3 linked regions of the Cricetulus griseus genome follow. The protein of the gene in region 1 interacts with the protein of each later gene in a biochemical or structural test. Links are inferred from orthologs where the notes say so. Each region holds a gene or a part of one and is shown on either strand. Other genes may lie near its edges. The genes, in order: Pbx1, Hoxb1 and Pknox1.

Region 1 (3,652 bases):
TTGATTCTAGTAGTCCTTGTCCATTAACCGGGACTTAGGTCCCATCTCCTCCACCCCTAAACAAGGTCCACAGAGTGGCCCTCTTCACATCTTCTAAGTCCTCCCGTCCTTTTCTGCTTTCCCAGAATTCTCTTCTGCTTCTTTCAACACTGAAAATAGTCTTCATGTTGTCTTTCCACAAAGGCTTGGCTGCTGAAGCCACAACTGGATTTAGTTGAGTGGTTTGTTTATTTGAAGGCAGATGATGTGTAGGAGGTATGGAAGCATTTGCCGTGAGCCACACTGCTGAATCTCTTGATCTCCTTCAGACTAAGTCACCCCCACCCACAAAGTTATGGTGTTTCCATAAAAAGTAGCCAGATTTCGATCTGAAACTCCATTCTACCAGAACCTTGGGTTTGCTGAATCCATGAAAACAGCTTGTTACAAAGACCACACCCTTGCTTTGCACAGAACAAAGCACTTACCAACCAGAACAGATGGATCTCAGCTTTAAAACTAGCATGTCCCTATGCTGGGGTTAGTCTTCCCGTTTTTCTAGACTAGTCTTCACTCTTTCAGCTAGTCCATGGAAAAGGTCTCAGGAGTTAATTGCATGAGCTGGATTGGCCTTACGGAAGTTATTTTGGCAATGAAAATATAGGTTAATCCACTATTTCAAAGAAAGTCACAGAGTAAAAGCCACAAAGAGAACTCTAAAATAAGAAATGAAGAAACACTTTCTTTGCATAAAATCTTACAGATTGAAGATTAAAGTATTATTCTGTTATAATTAATGTTTGTAGTCTAACATTGATTGTGATACAACACATACAATGGGAATTTTGCCTATTTTATAGTGTTCAGTTTGATGGCATAAAGTAGATTTACATGGTTGTGTGAACATCACCATCTATCTATCTGGTGTGAGGGTAGAGACAAGGCCTTATATGGCCCAGGCTGACTTGTAACACACGCACATGCACACGCACACACACACACACGCACACACGCGCACACACACACACACGCACACGCACACACACGCACACGCACACACGCACACACGCACACACGCACACACACACACGCACACACGCACACACACACACACACGATGACCTTGAACTTCTAATCCTCCTGGCTCCACTACCTGAGTTCTGGGATTATAGATGTGACCAGAGTGCTGGGCTTCCAGGAACTCCTTTCAACTTCCCCACGTAAAACTGCAGGCATAACACACTGGCTCCCCATGCCCCTCCTCCTGGTTCCAACTCCACCATTCTTCTATTCTAAGTATTCATCGCAGTAGAGTTTCCTTGGAGCAAAGCAAGCTTCTCCTTCCACATTCTCACCCTCTCAGTTCTTGTCTTGCCCTTCCTCGGTTCTCCACTTGTCATAGGGCATGTAATCTGGAAGCTAGTTTAGCAGAGGAACATGGTTGGGTTCTTGTGTTTCATGCTTGTTAAATGTTTCCCCTGCATTGTTGTTAATACTTTTTCCCTTTTGTCTTTCTCTGTAGTTTTGAGTATTCGGGGAGCCCAAGAAGAGGAGCCCACAGACCCCCAGCTGATGCGACTGGACAACATGCTGCTAGCTGAGGGGGTGGCAGGGCCCGAGAAGGGAGGAGGCTCGGCAGCGGCGGCGGCAGCAGCGGCAGCTTCCGGGGGTGCAGGTTCAGACAACTCGGTGGAGCATTCTGATTACAGAGCCAAACTGTCACAGATCAGACAAATCTACCACACGGAGCTGGAGAAGTATGAGCAGGTAACCACACCCCTGCAGAATGGATCTCAGGGTGGCCCTTGGTCAAGGGCAGAACAAACTGTAGCCTACAGCTTGCTAACCTTCCTTGGTCCAGCCTTTCCCAGAGGTCAGGTATCGTCCTAGAGTCTTGAATCCCCTTAAGAACCTGGTCTTAACTATTGAAAGCCAAAGCCTTACATGGGCCAAGACACTAAACAACATGACATTATAAATGAAGACCTTAAGAAATATGCATGGCCAATGTGAGGAGTATCCTGTGCCAGGAAATCCAGAACATTTGTGGGATGTGGAATGTGTCCAGAGGGACTCCCCCGAGTGTGCGGGCCTTTCTCAGAGTTACAACCTGATGGCAGGGGCTTCTGGCTTCCTTTGGCCTCCACTTGTTTCTTTAAGGGATATTATTCTTCTGAATGCTCCAAGAATCCCATGGAAAGGGACACTTGAACCTGACCTTTAAACGCTGGCATCAGCTGACTCAAATGTGCTCTCTTCTTTATGTGTGATATGGTACACAGTTCTCTGCAGAGATAGTAGGTCATCTTAGGAGGCATCCTAGAGTCATACCAACCTCAACTCCAGCCCAAGCATTCTTTGACAGTGTCGTGGACCTGCATACTGTATCCTGAAGGAGCAGGCATTTGATAGAGAACTGTAGATTTATGATGGATATGATATCCTCTGATTCAGTGGCTTTGGGGCACAGATCGGTGTACAGAGATGAGGTACCTGGAAGATTACAAAGCTACCCCCTGTTAGGGAAATCCCCTTCTGTCCCCCTTACATTTGGAATTCTCTATCTGTGCTGTTTTTCCAACCATTGTGAACAATAGTTCTCTATCAGGAGTCCTTTATCATCTGACTTTAATTCATTTATTTAGCCAACAAATACATTTGTTGTCACCATTGGATTCTATACTGAACCCAGGTTCTATATGATTTTTTTCCCTTGAATTAGATTTTCTTTTACTATTTTTATGACCCAGAGAAGGAAAAAAAAAGCACTCAACTTATGACTGCCTAGGTAGGTGGCAAATGCAATCCTAATAGAAAATTTAAATTTTAAAATAAAAAAATGGACATTTTAAAATTTAAAGTGGAGAAAGTTTCATTATTGCTCTTCCATCCACCTGTGAAATGGAGGATACTCACAAAGTCCACTGTTTTATGCAGGGGATGCTGTGCCTCCTTACCTTAAGCGTCTTGAAATTCACCCATCAGACAGGTGTAGTCGAGAGCTGAAGGAAGGAAAATAAAAGTCAGCATGTTAAGAACTGTGAGTCATTGCCCTGTACCTTCTTGGAAAAGAACAAATGTTCTTGACACAATGTTAGCTCATGGAGACTTGCCTCGGGTCCCGGGGAAGATTGAGATAAATCCTGCCTAATCGAGGTGCTTTTCCCCACCTGGACCATCCTGGATCTGGACTCTGCCCTAATTTAGTTCGATAACGTCAGAAAGTGCATTTTCGGACTCTTCTTATGAAGAGCTCTGGATGGCCTCTCGGTTTCTCTCATTTGTGCTATTCTTACTTCACCTTCCTCAGGAAGCCTGGCCTCTGCCTAGAAACCTGCCTAGACCTGACGCCCAGACTAACTCATGTCAGATAAGCAAAGACTAAAAGGAACTCAGAATACAGCTTTCTTTAATCACACAACTGCAATGTGTGGTAGACTTGGAGGTGTTAAAAGATGGCTTTATTGTTACCTTGGAATGTAGATAGCAAGGAATTGATTTCTCCTTTGATAACCCTGTCCCTCATCCAAAAGGGGTGCCCGCTTGGGCAGCAGTAGTCCATTCCAATAGCATACTTACCGTTGCAAAGCATCAGGACCAATGCAATTGCCCTTGCTCTCCCATGCCATTTTGTTGTTGGATGCATCAGACCATTTGATGCAGGTGAGGAAGT
Region 2 (3,325 bases), on another chromosome or scaffold:
GCCAAGAGCTTCTCTTCTAATCCCAACCTGCCTCTAAGGGAGTGAGCAAGGCACTTCCTGTTTCCCTCCCCCAAGTTTAACCCAACAGGCAGCAAAACAAAACAAAACAAAACAAAACAAAAAAACAGCTCTGCACCAATTCTCCCATTCTCCAAGCAAAGTAAACTCATCTATTCTAGAATACTCAGGGAAAATTTGGGTAGTCATTAACACTTAACTAGCATTGGATTTATGGATTTGAGTCTAGAAATTGGAAAAAAAAACTTTCAGGGAGACTAAAGATAATGGAGAGAGAGAGAGAGAGAGAGAGAGAGAGAGAGAGAGAGAGAGAGAGAGAGAGAGGGAAACCAGAGGAATTCAGGGTCTTTACTAGTTTTAAACACTTTTGAACAGAGAATAAAAATTCCCTTCCTCCTCTTCTTCCTGTAAACATCACCTGGTTCTGCTAGTTGCTGCTCTCTGGAGAGATATAGGGAGTTATTTAAGTCTGAGTGAGTGAGCCAGCTACAGCTATGGATGGCTAGAGAGAGGATAAATACATCCAGAGAGATGAGTTGATGGATAGGTAGGGAACGAGTATAAATATGGAGAGAGATGGACGAACAGAAAGATGAATTGAGACAGAGAGAATATAAAGAGAGGCTGAGGGAGAGAAATGGATGTGTGAATGAGGAGAGAGCGTTTATGCAGAGAGATGGAGAGAGGAAAGGGGCGTTTCTCATCTTCCTCTTCAGGTTTTGGTAGTCCTCGCTGGTCCCCTTGAAATGCCATTTTCCACCCCTTGATTCCTAATGAATTCTTCTGGATTTTAGAGCCTGGCTTACACCCTGAGGTGTTTTTACAGCCTCCCGCCCTTCCTAGTCATCCTTTTGTCCCAAGATAACATACCTCACCAGGCTGCCCTAGCCACTCATCCCAAGACAAACTGGGAGAAAGGAACATGGAATGGGGGTTCTGGGCAAAGCCAGAGCTTCTCCCAATCTCTGGCTCTACTGCCTTGGGTGGGGGTAGGCTTCTTCGAGGGGAGAAAAGAGTGAGGGGCAGCTGGGTTGAATTTGTCCAAATCTAATAATCCAGGGACCCATTGAAGGCCTTGGGGGTTGGGAGGGGAGTAAAGTCTTGAATATTCTTCTAACTCCCCCCCTCTCCCTCTGGTCCCTTCTTTCCAAAAAGTCTTTGAAGAAAGATGTTTTTGACGCTTCCATGTCGCTCTCAGATGGATGGGCTGAGAGTGATTGAAGTGTCTTTGTCATGCTAATGCTTGGGGGGTGATGGATGGGCGCTGGGGCTGCCAAACTCTGGCCCGCTTAGCCCATTGGCCTGAGAGAGATCACATGTGCCCCCCCACCCCCACTCGCTATCCCCTTCCTAGGGGAGCGCTGGCCGGAGCAAGCTGGCCCAGGCCATGGACTCAAGCCTCAGAGCTGTGACATACTGCCGAAAGGTTGTAGGGCAAGAGGGTGTCTCCCCCAAACTGCCGGACCCTCCTTCGGCCTCTACATGGACTATAATAGGATGAATTCCTTTTTAGAGTACCCACTTTGTAATCGGGGACCCAGCGCCTACAGCGCCCCAACCTCCTTTCCCCCCAGCTCAGCTCCGGCGGTTGACAGCTACGCTGGGGAGAGCCGCTTTGGTGGAGGGCTGCCCAACCCAGCGCTCCAACAAAACTCGGGGTACCCTGTCCAGCAGCCGCCTTCATCCCTGGGGGTGTCCTTTCCCAGCTCCGCTCCCTCGGGGTACGCCCCAGCGGCCTGCAACTCCAGCTATGGGCCTTCTCAGTACTATTCTATGGGTCAGTCTGAAGGAGATGGAGGCTATTTTCATCCATCGAGCTACGGAGCCCAGCTAGGAGCTTTGCCCGACAGCTACGGAGCGGGTGGAGTCGGCCCAGGGCCATATCCTCCGACGCAGCCCCATTACGGAACTGAGCAGACGGCAAACTTTGCACCAGCCTACGACCTCCTCTCTGAGGACAAGGAATCATCTTGCTCTTCAGAACCCAGCAATCTCACCCCCCGGACCTTCGACTGGATGAAGGTCAAGAGAAACCCACCTAAGACAGGTAGGGCTCAGAGTGGTCACTTCCTCTCCTTGGCCCAGGAATGCACAGAGGGTCCTGGGCCAGGGCTTGGTTCATCCCTTCAGCTGCTTTGGTATTGGCAGGTAAGGACTTTCCCGTCTTAGGTCAGCTGAGATTTCCCCCATCGAGTAAGCTTGGGGCCACCTCCTTAAAGAGGTCTCCACAAAGTACTTCCTTGTCTGGGCGCGTAGTTTGGAGGCAGGAACTCATGTTTCTGTCGGAAGGTGAGTACGGGTGGGATCTTGGTTCTGGATTTGGAAACTGCTAAAGGAGGGTTTGTGTGGTGCTGCATAGGGACGTAAGTTGGGTAGAATGATGAATGAGGAAACACAGTGCACTGAGAGGAGTGGAGGGGAGGGAGAAAGAGGTGAGAGAACTGACGTGGCTTTTTCTCCCTGCCCCGCCCCTAGCCAAGGTGTCCGAGCTAGGACTGGGCGCTCCCGGCGGCCTCCGCACAAACTTCACCACGCGCCAGCTGACCGAGCTGGAGAAGGAATTTCATTTCAACAAATACCTGAGCCGTGCGCGGAGGGTGGAGATCGCCGCCACCCTGGAGCTCAACGAAACGCAGGTGAAGATCTGGTTCCAGAACCGCCGCATGAAGCAGAAGAAGCGAGAGCGAGAGGGAGGCAGGGTGCCTACAGCACCTTCAGGTTGCCCCAAGGAAGCGGCCGGAGATGCCTCAGACCAGTCCACGTGCACCTCCCCGGAAGCCTCGCCCAGCTCCATCACCTCCTGAATTGAACCATCGGGCGTCCAGAGCTGGACCCAGTCCTGTCGTAGACTCTCCCAAACTTCACAGCCCTGGTGATCCTCCTCACGGCCGAGGAAGGAACCAGTTTAGAGGTGCCTAGGAAACTGGGCAGGAGTGGGGAAACATTTTTTTCTCAGATCTTGGGGTGGAGGGATGACTGACAGCTGGGGATCCTACAAGTCTTGGGACCTGGGGAGTACCCAACCGTTAAAGTGGAGGGAAGGCCTTTTGCCTTTGATCTAGAGATTGGCTCAATGTCAACACCCGAGTGGGGGTAGGAGCCAGCCCATCCCGGATTCTCCTTTGCCTTCCATCTCAGTTCAGTGCCTTTGAGCTTGGAGAATTCTCTTTGAGCACTCTTACCCCAACTTTCCTTCCTAGGCCTGGATAGAGAGAATCTTCAGGATGTTCCTGAGCACAGGCATATTACCGCCAATCTTTAATCTTAATCCTTAATCCAGCCAACTCACCGCAGACCTTACAATAGC
Region 3 (3,652 bases), on another chromosome or scaffold:
AAAATAAAGGTGCTCATTATCCAGTTTCTTTAGCCAAATGTTGGATGTGTACTAACTGTAGGAAAAAGAAAGCAGAAACAAGCAAAAGGAAAGGGACCTGCCAAGTCCCCAGTGACAAGGACAGGTGCCATGCAGGCCAGAATTGGTGTGATAATTTGTCTGACCACATAGTTTGCAAAGTATTGTTGACCATTTGAAATGGTTAAAAGGGGGCTGGAGAGATGGCTCAGAGGTTAAGATCACTAGCTGCTTTTCCAGAGGTCCTGAGTTCAATTCCCAGCAACCACATGGTGGATCACAACCATCTGTCATGAGATCTGGTGCCCTCTTCTGGCCTGCAGGGATACATGCAGACAGAACACTGTATATGTAATAAAAATAAGTAAATAAATTTTTAAAAAATTGGGACTTGCTTGGGGGGGGGGGGATGGTTAAAAGGCTCACCCGACAGGCTTTTCATTTCTTCCATAAACCTATCAGGAAGAATGTCTGTAAACCACTAAGACTTAAAAGTAGTTTAATATTTAAATTCTCTTTTCCTTTTTGAGGTGGCACAGTGTACCAGCCTGTCACCGTCGTCACTCCACAAGGTCAAGTGGTCACACAGGCGTTGTCTCCTGGGACAATTAGGATCCAGAACTCCCAGGTGTGTGATGCCCTCTAGGACTTGTGATGAGTGCTGCCTAGGTGGGGGTGCAGTGGAGCCCCTCTTTGTGACTGTCATTTGTTGTCAAGTAGCCTCTAGTCGGTTTGTTTCTTTTCATGCTTCCTCTCCCTTACTGTGAAATTGACAAAATTCAGAACAGTCTGAGGCACCAGGGAAGTTTTTCACAACCCCAGATGCTGCCATGTCCATGGCATCCGTCTGCAGTATCTGCACATCAAGACTTGAAGTCCTGTAGATGCAGAACAGCCAGGCAGTTTTCAGAACCACAAAGCCCAGACTGTACCCCTAGCCTGAAGCTGTACCCCATCCCCAGTGAGACTGGGGTGCTTTGTTGAGGTCAGGCTCTAGGTGTCTGCAGAAGCAATTCTTGGCTCCCACATTCAGGTATATTGCTCTTCAAACAAAAGGTGACCGCTGGCATATTGTAGCCAAGGTCGTTCTGCAGTCTTCCTGTTCCTTTGAAGGAAAATGGGGAAGTTGGGTCTCATGGCCTGGAAGACCCTCTGAGTTCTAGAAACATGAATTTTTTACTTTGAATAATTGAAGACAAGGTTTAAAGTATAGTTTTACTTTGTGAATGTTGATTCACTCTGTGAGGTCTCTGTCCATGTCCTTATCAAGGACTCTCATGCCTAGCCTGGGGTGTGGCTGTTGTCTTAAAGGAAAGCCATCTAAATGGGCTGCAGTGGTTCTCAGTGGTCTAGTAGTCTGGGGCTGCCATCTTGGCCATGAAGGTTTGGTGACAACACTAGAGAAAAAGATGCAGGTGCCCCTGGCATAGGTGGTGAGCGGGGGGCTTCAGAGACTTACTGAGTGTGTGATTCTCAGGCCCAAGCCCACATAAGGGAGAGCTGGATCTCACCAATGCTGCCCTTGTCTCCCTACCAGCTTTCTTCCCTTGTGGTTTCCATTTCAATATTTGTAACAAAAGAGCCGTGTCCAATTATTGACTAGTTTTCTAGAATTGAGTTATGCTTCTTTGTTTGTTTGTTTGTTTTCTGGTTTTCAAGATAGTTTCTCTGTGTAATAGACCTGGCTGTCCTGGATCTCACTCTGTAGACCAGACTGGCCTCAAACTCAGAGATTCACCTGCCTCTGCTTCTAAGTGCTGGGATTAAAGGTGTGCGCCACAGAGAATTGTGCTTTTTTTTTTTTTTTTTTTTTTTTTTTTTTTTTTTTTTTTTAGGGGAAGACAATTTAAGTCAACTTACTGGTACTGTAGAAGATACTCCATTTGTCTTGTTTTAAAAGAGTTTTTTGTTTTTTGTTTTTTTTTTTTTTTGCTTTGGGGGGATTGGGACAGGTTTCATTCTGTACCCTGGCTGACCTGAAACTCACCACGATCACCCTAAACTTTAGCCCTTTGGTGCACTGTAATGGTTAACATCTGTGGTTCTGGGGCTGGAGAGATGGCTCAGAGGTTAAGAACATTGACTGCTCTTCCAGAGATCCTGAGTTCAATTCCCAGCAACCACATGGTGGCTCACAGCCATCTATAATGAGATCTGGTGCCCACTTCTGGCCTGCAGGCATACATGCAGGCAGAACATTGTATACATAATAAATAAAATCTTAAAAGAAAAAAGATTAAAAAAAAAAGATCTGTGATTCTGCCTCAGTCTAACCTGCGAACAGTGCCTGCCTCGGGGCTGCAGTCAACAGTTGACACAGTTCAGCATATGGAAGTCATCCCTTAACAGTTTGAAGTGTCTAAGAATTGTAGGGCTTACATGCTGAAAAAGTGGGAATGAAGACCAAATATGTAGACCATGTTATAGTAGCATCAGATTGGTCTTTACATGATTTCCACACATGCCTCTTTACGGTAAGTAAGCCTGAGAGCCTAGGTACCTCCTCCATCTCAAAAGTTGTAAGCTGCTTGATATGTTGTCATTTCAAAGCCTCTCTGACATTGTTTGTCAATTGTATGAAAGCTTCAACTGCAGTTGAATCAAGACCTCAGCATCTTGCATCAAGAGGATGGCTCCTCCAAGAACAAGAGGGGCGTCCTGCCGAAGCATGCCACCAATGTGATGCGGTCCTGGCTCTTTCAGCACATAGGGGTAAGAGTGCATGGGATACACCATGAATGACCTGAGACCCTCTCCTGGCTTGTGTCCCCAGGGAAACTGACTTGTGTTTATTTGTCTCAGTTCTAAGTTTGGTATTATATTGTGTCCATAGTGGGGCTTGAGAACAGGTCCCTGATAATGACTTGAAGAAACTGAAAATGCAGCAGGGGTCCCCCGACTGGTGGAAAGAGAGTCAGCTAAACTACTGCCAATTGTGCTCCTTTGGGTCAGAAAACCCCTACTGTATGATGGGACTGACTGGAGAAGAGGGCGAAGAGAAAGATGAAGTAGCACTGTCTGTGCGGCGGATCTAAGCGTGAGATGCAGTGAGTGAAAGGCACATGGGGAAATTGGGCACAATGAAGACCGCCAACACATGGCTTGTTTAGTTGAAAATGAGTGGCCCAGGCAGAAAGCGAGGCACACAAGTAGTGTACAGGATGGTGAGGGCTGCCAGCACAGGCGGTGTCAGGTAAAGGACAGGAAGTGATGGCCAGTGCAATGGCTGTGATGCTGTGGTCACAGTTCCCCACAGAAGTGCTGTGTTGGGCGCGCCTCTTTCCTTTTCTGGTGTCCATGTCTTATCACACTTCCCTTTAATGAGCTAGTGTTTCTCAAATATAAACACTGGTCCTAAGGACCAGTGAGGACACATTGCCTTGTTTTCCTGTTCCTTCTTGCCCTCATTTCTTTGCGGCACCTAGTTTTCCAAGCAGTGGGGCAGCAGTGACTGCTGTCTGATGGTCTGGCACTGTGCTTATGTTTCTGACCTCACTTTTTGTTTATTGTTTAGTCGCTGATCACATTCTCGCCACACACTGACAGCTGCTATACTGTTGAACATTTTTGGTCAGAGAAACATTCTTACCTGTTTTTTTTTTTAATGATTTATTTATTCTTATTTTATGCGCAT

The links.
Region 2: the proteins of Pbx1 (region 1) and Hoxb1 are reported together in a solved structure, tested with the Homo sapiens proteins (2 studies listed by BioGRID and IntAct, with this or other methods). The link is inferred for Cricetulus griseus from reciprocal best matches to the Homo sapiens genes PBX1 and HOXB1.
Region 3: the proteins of Pbx1 (region 1) and Pknox1 form a complex in vitro, tested with the Homo sapiens proteins (2 studies listed by BioGRID). The link is inferred for Cricetulus griseus from reciprocal best matches to the Homo sapiens genes PBX1 and PKNOX1.

What each region holds. Positions count from the first base shown.
Region 1 is NC_048598.1:24,509,803-24,513,454, forward strand, and holds part of Pbx1 (pre-B-cell leukemia transcription factor 1), read left to right. Parts: intron 1-1,501; coding exon 1,502-1,746; intron 1,747-3,652. UniProt on the Homo sapiens protein: Transcription factor which binds the DNA sequence 5'-TGATTGAT-3' as part of a heterodimer with HOX proteins such as HOXA1, HOXA5, HOXB7 and HOXB8. Binds to the DNA sequence 5'-TGATTGAC-3' in complex with a nuclear factor which is not a class I HOX protein.
Region 2 is NC_048600.1:109,523,611-109,526,935, forward strand, and holds Hoxb1 (homeobox protein Hox-B1), read left to right. Parts: upstream 1-1,500; coding exon 1,501-2,065; intron 2,066-2,493; coding exon 2,494-2,822; downstream 2,823-3,325. UniProt on the Homo sapiens protein: Sequence-specific transcription factor which is part of a developmental regulatory system that provides cells with specific positional identities on the anterior-posterior axis. Acts on the anterior body structures.
Region 3 is NW_023276806.1:259,928,853-259,932,504, forward strand, and holds part of Pknox1 (homeobox protein PKNOX1), read left to right. Parts: intron 1-548; coding exon 549-646; intron 647-2,601; coding exon 2,602-2,730; intron 2,731-3,652. UniProt on the Homo sapiens protein: Activates transcription in the presence of PBX1A and HOXA1.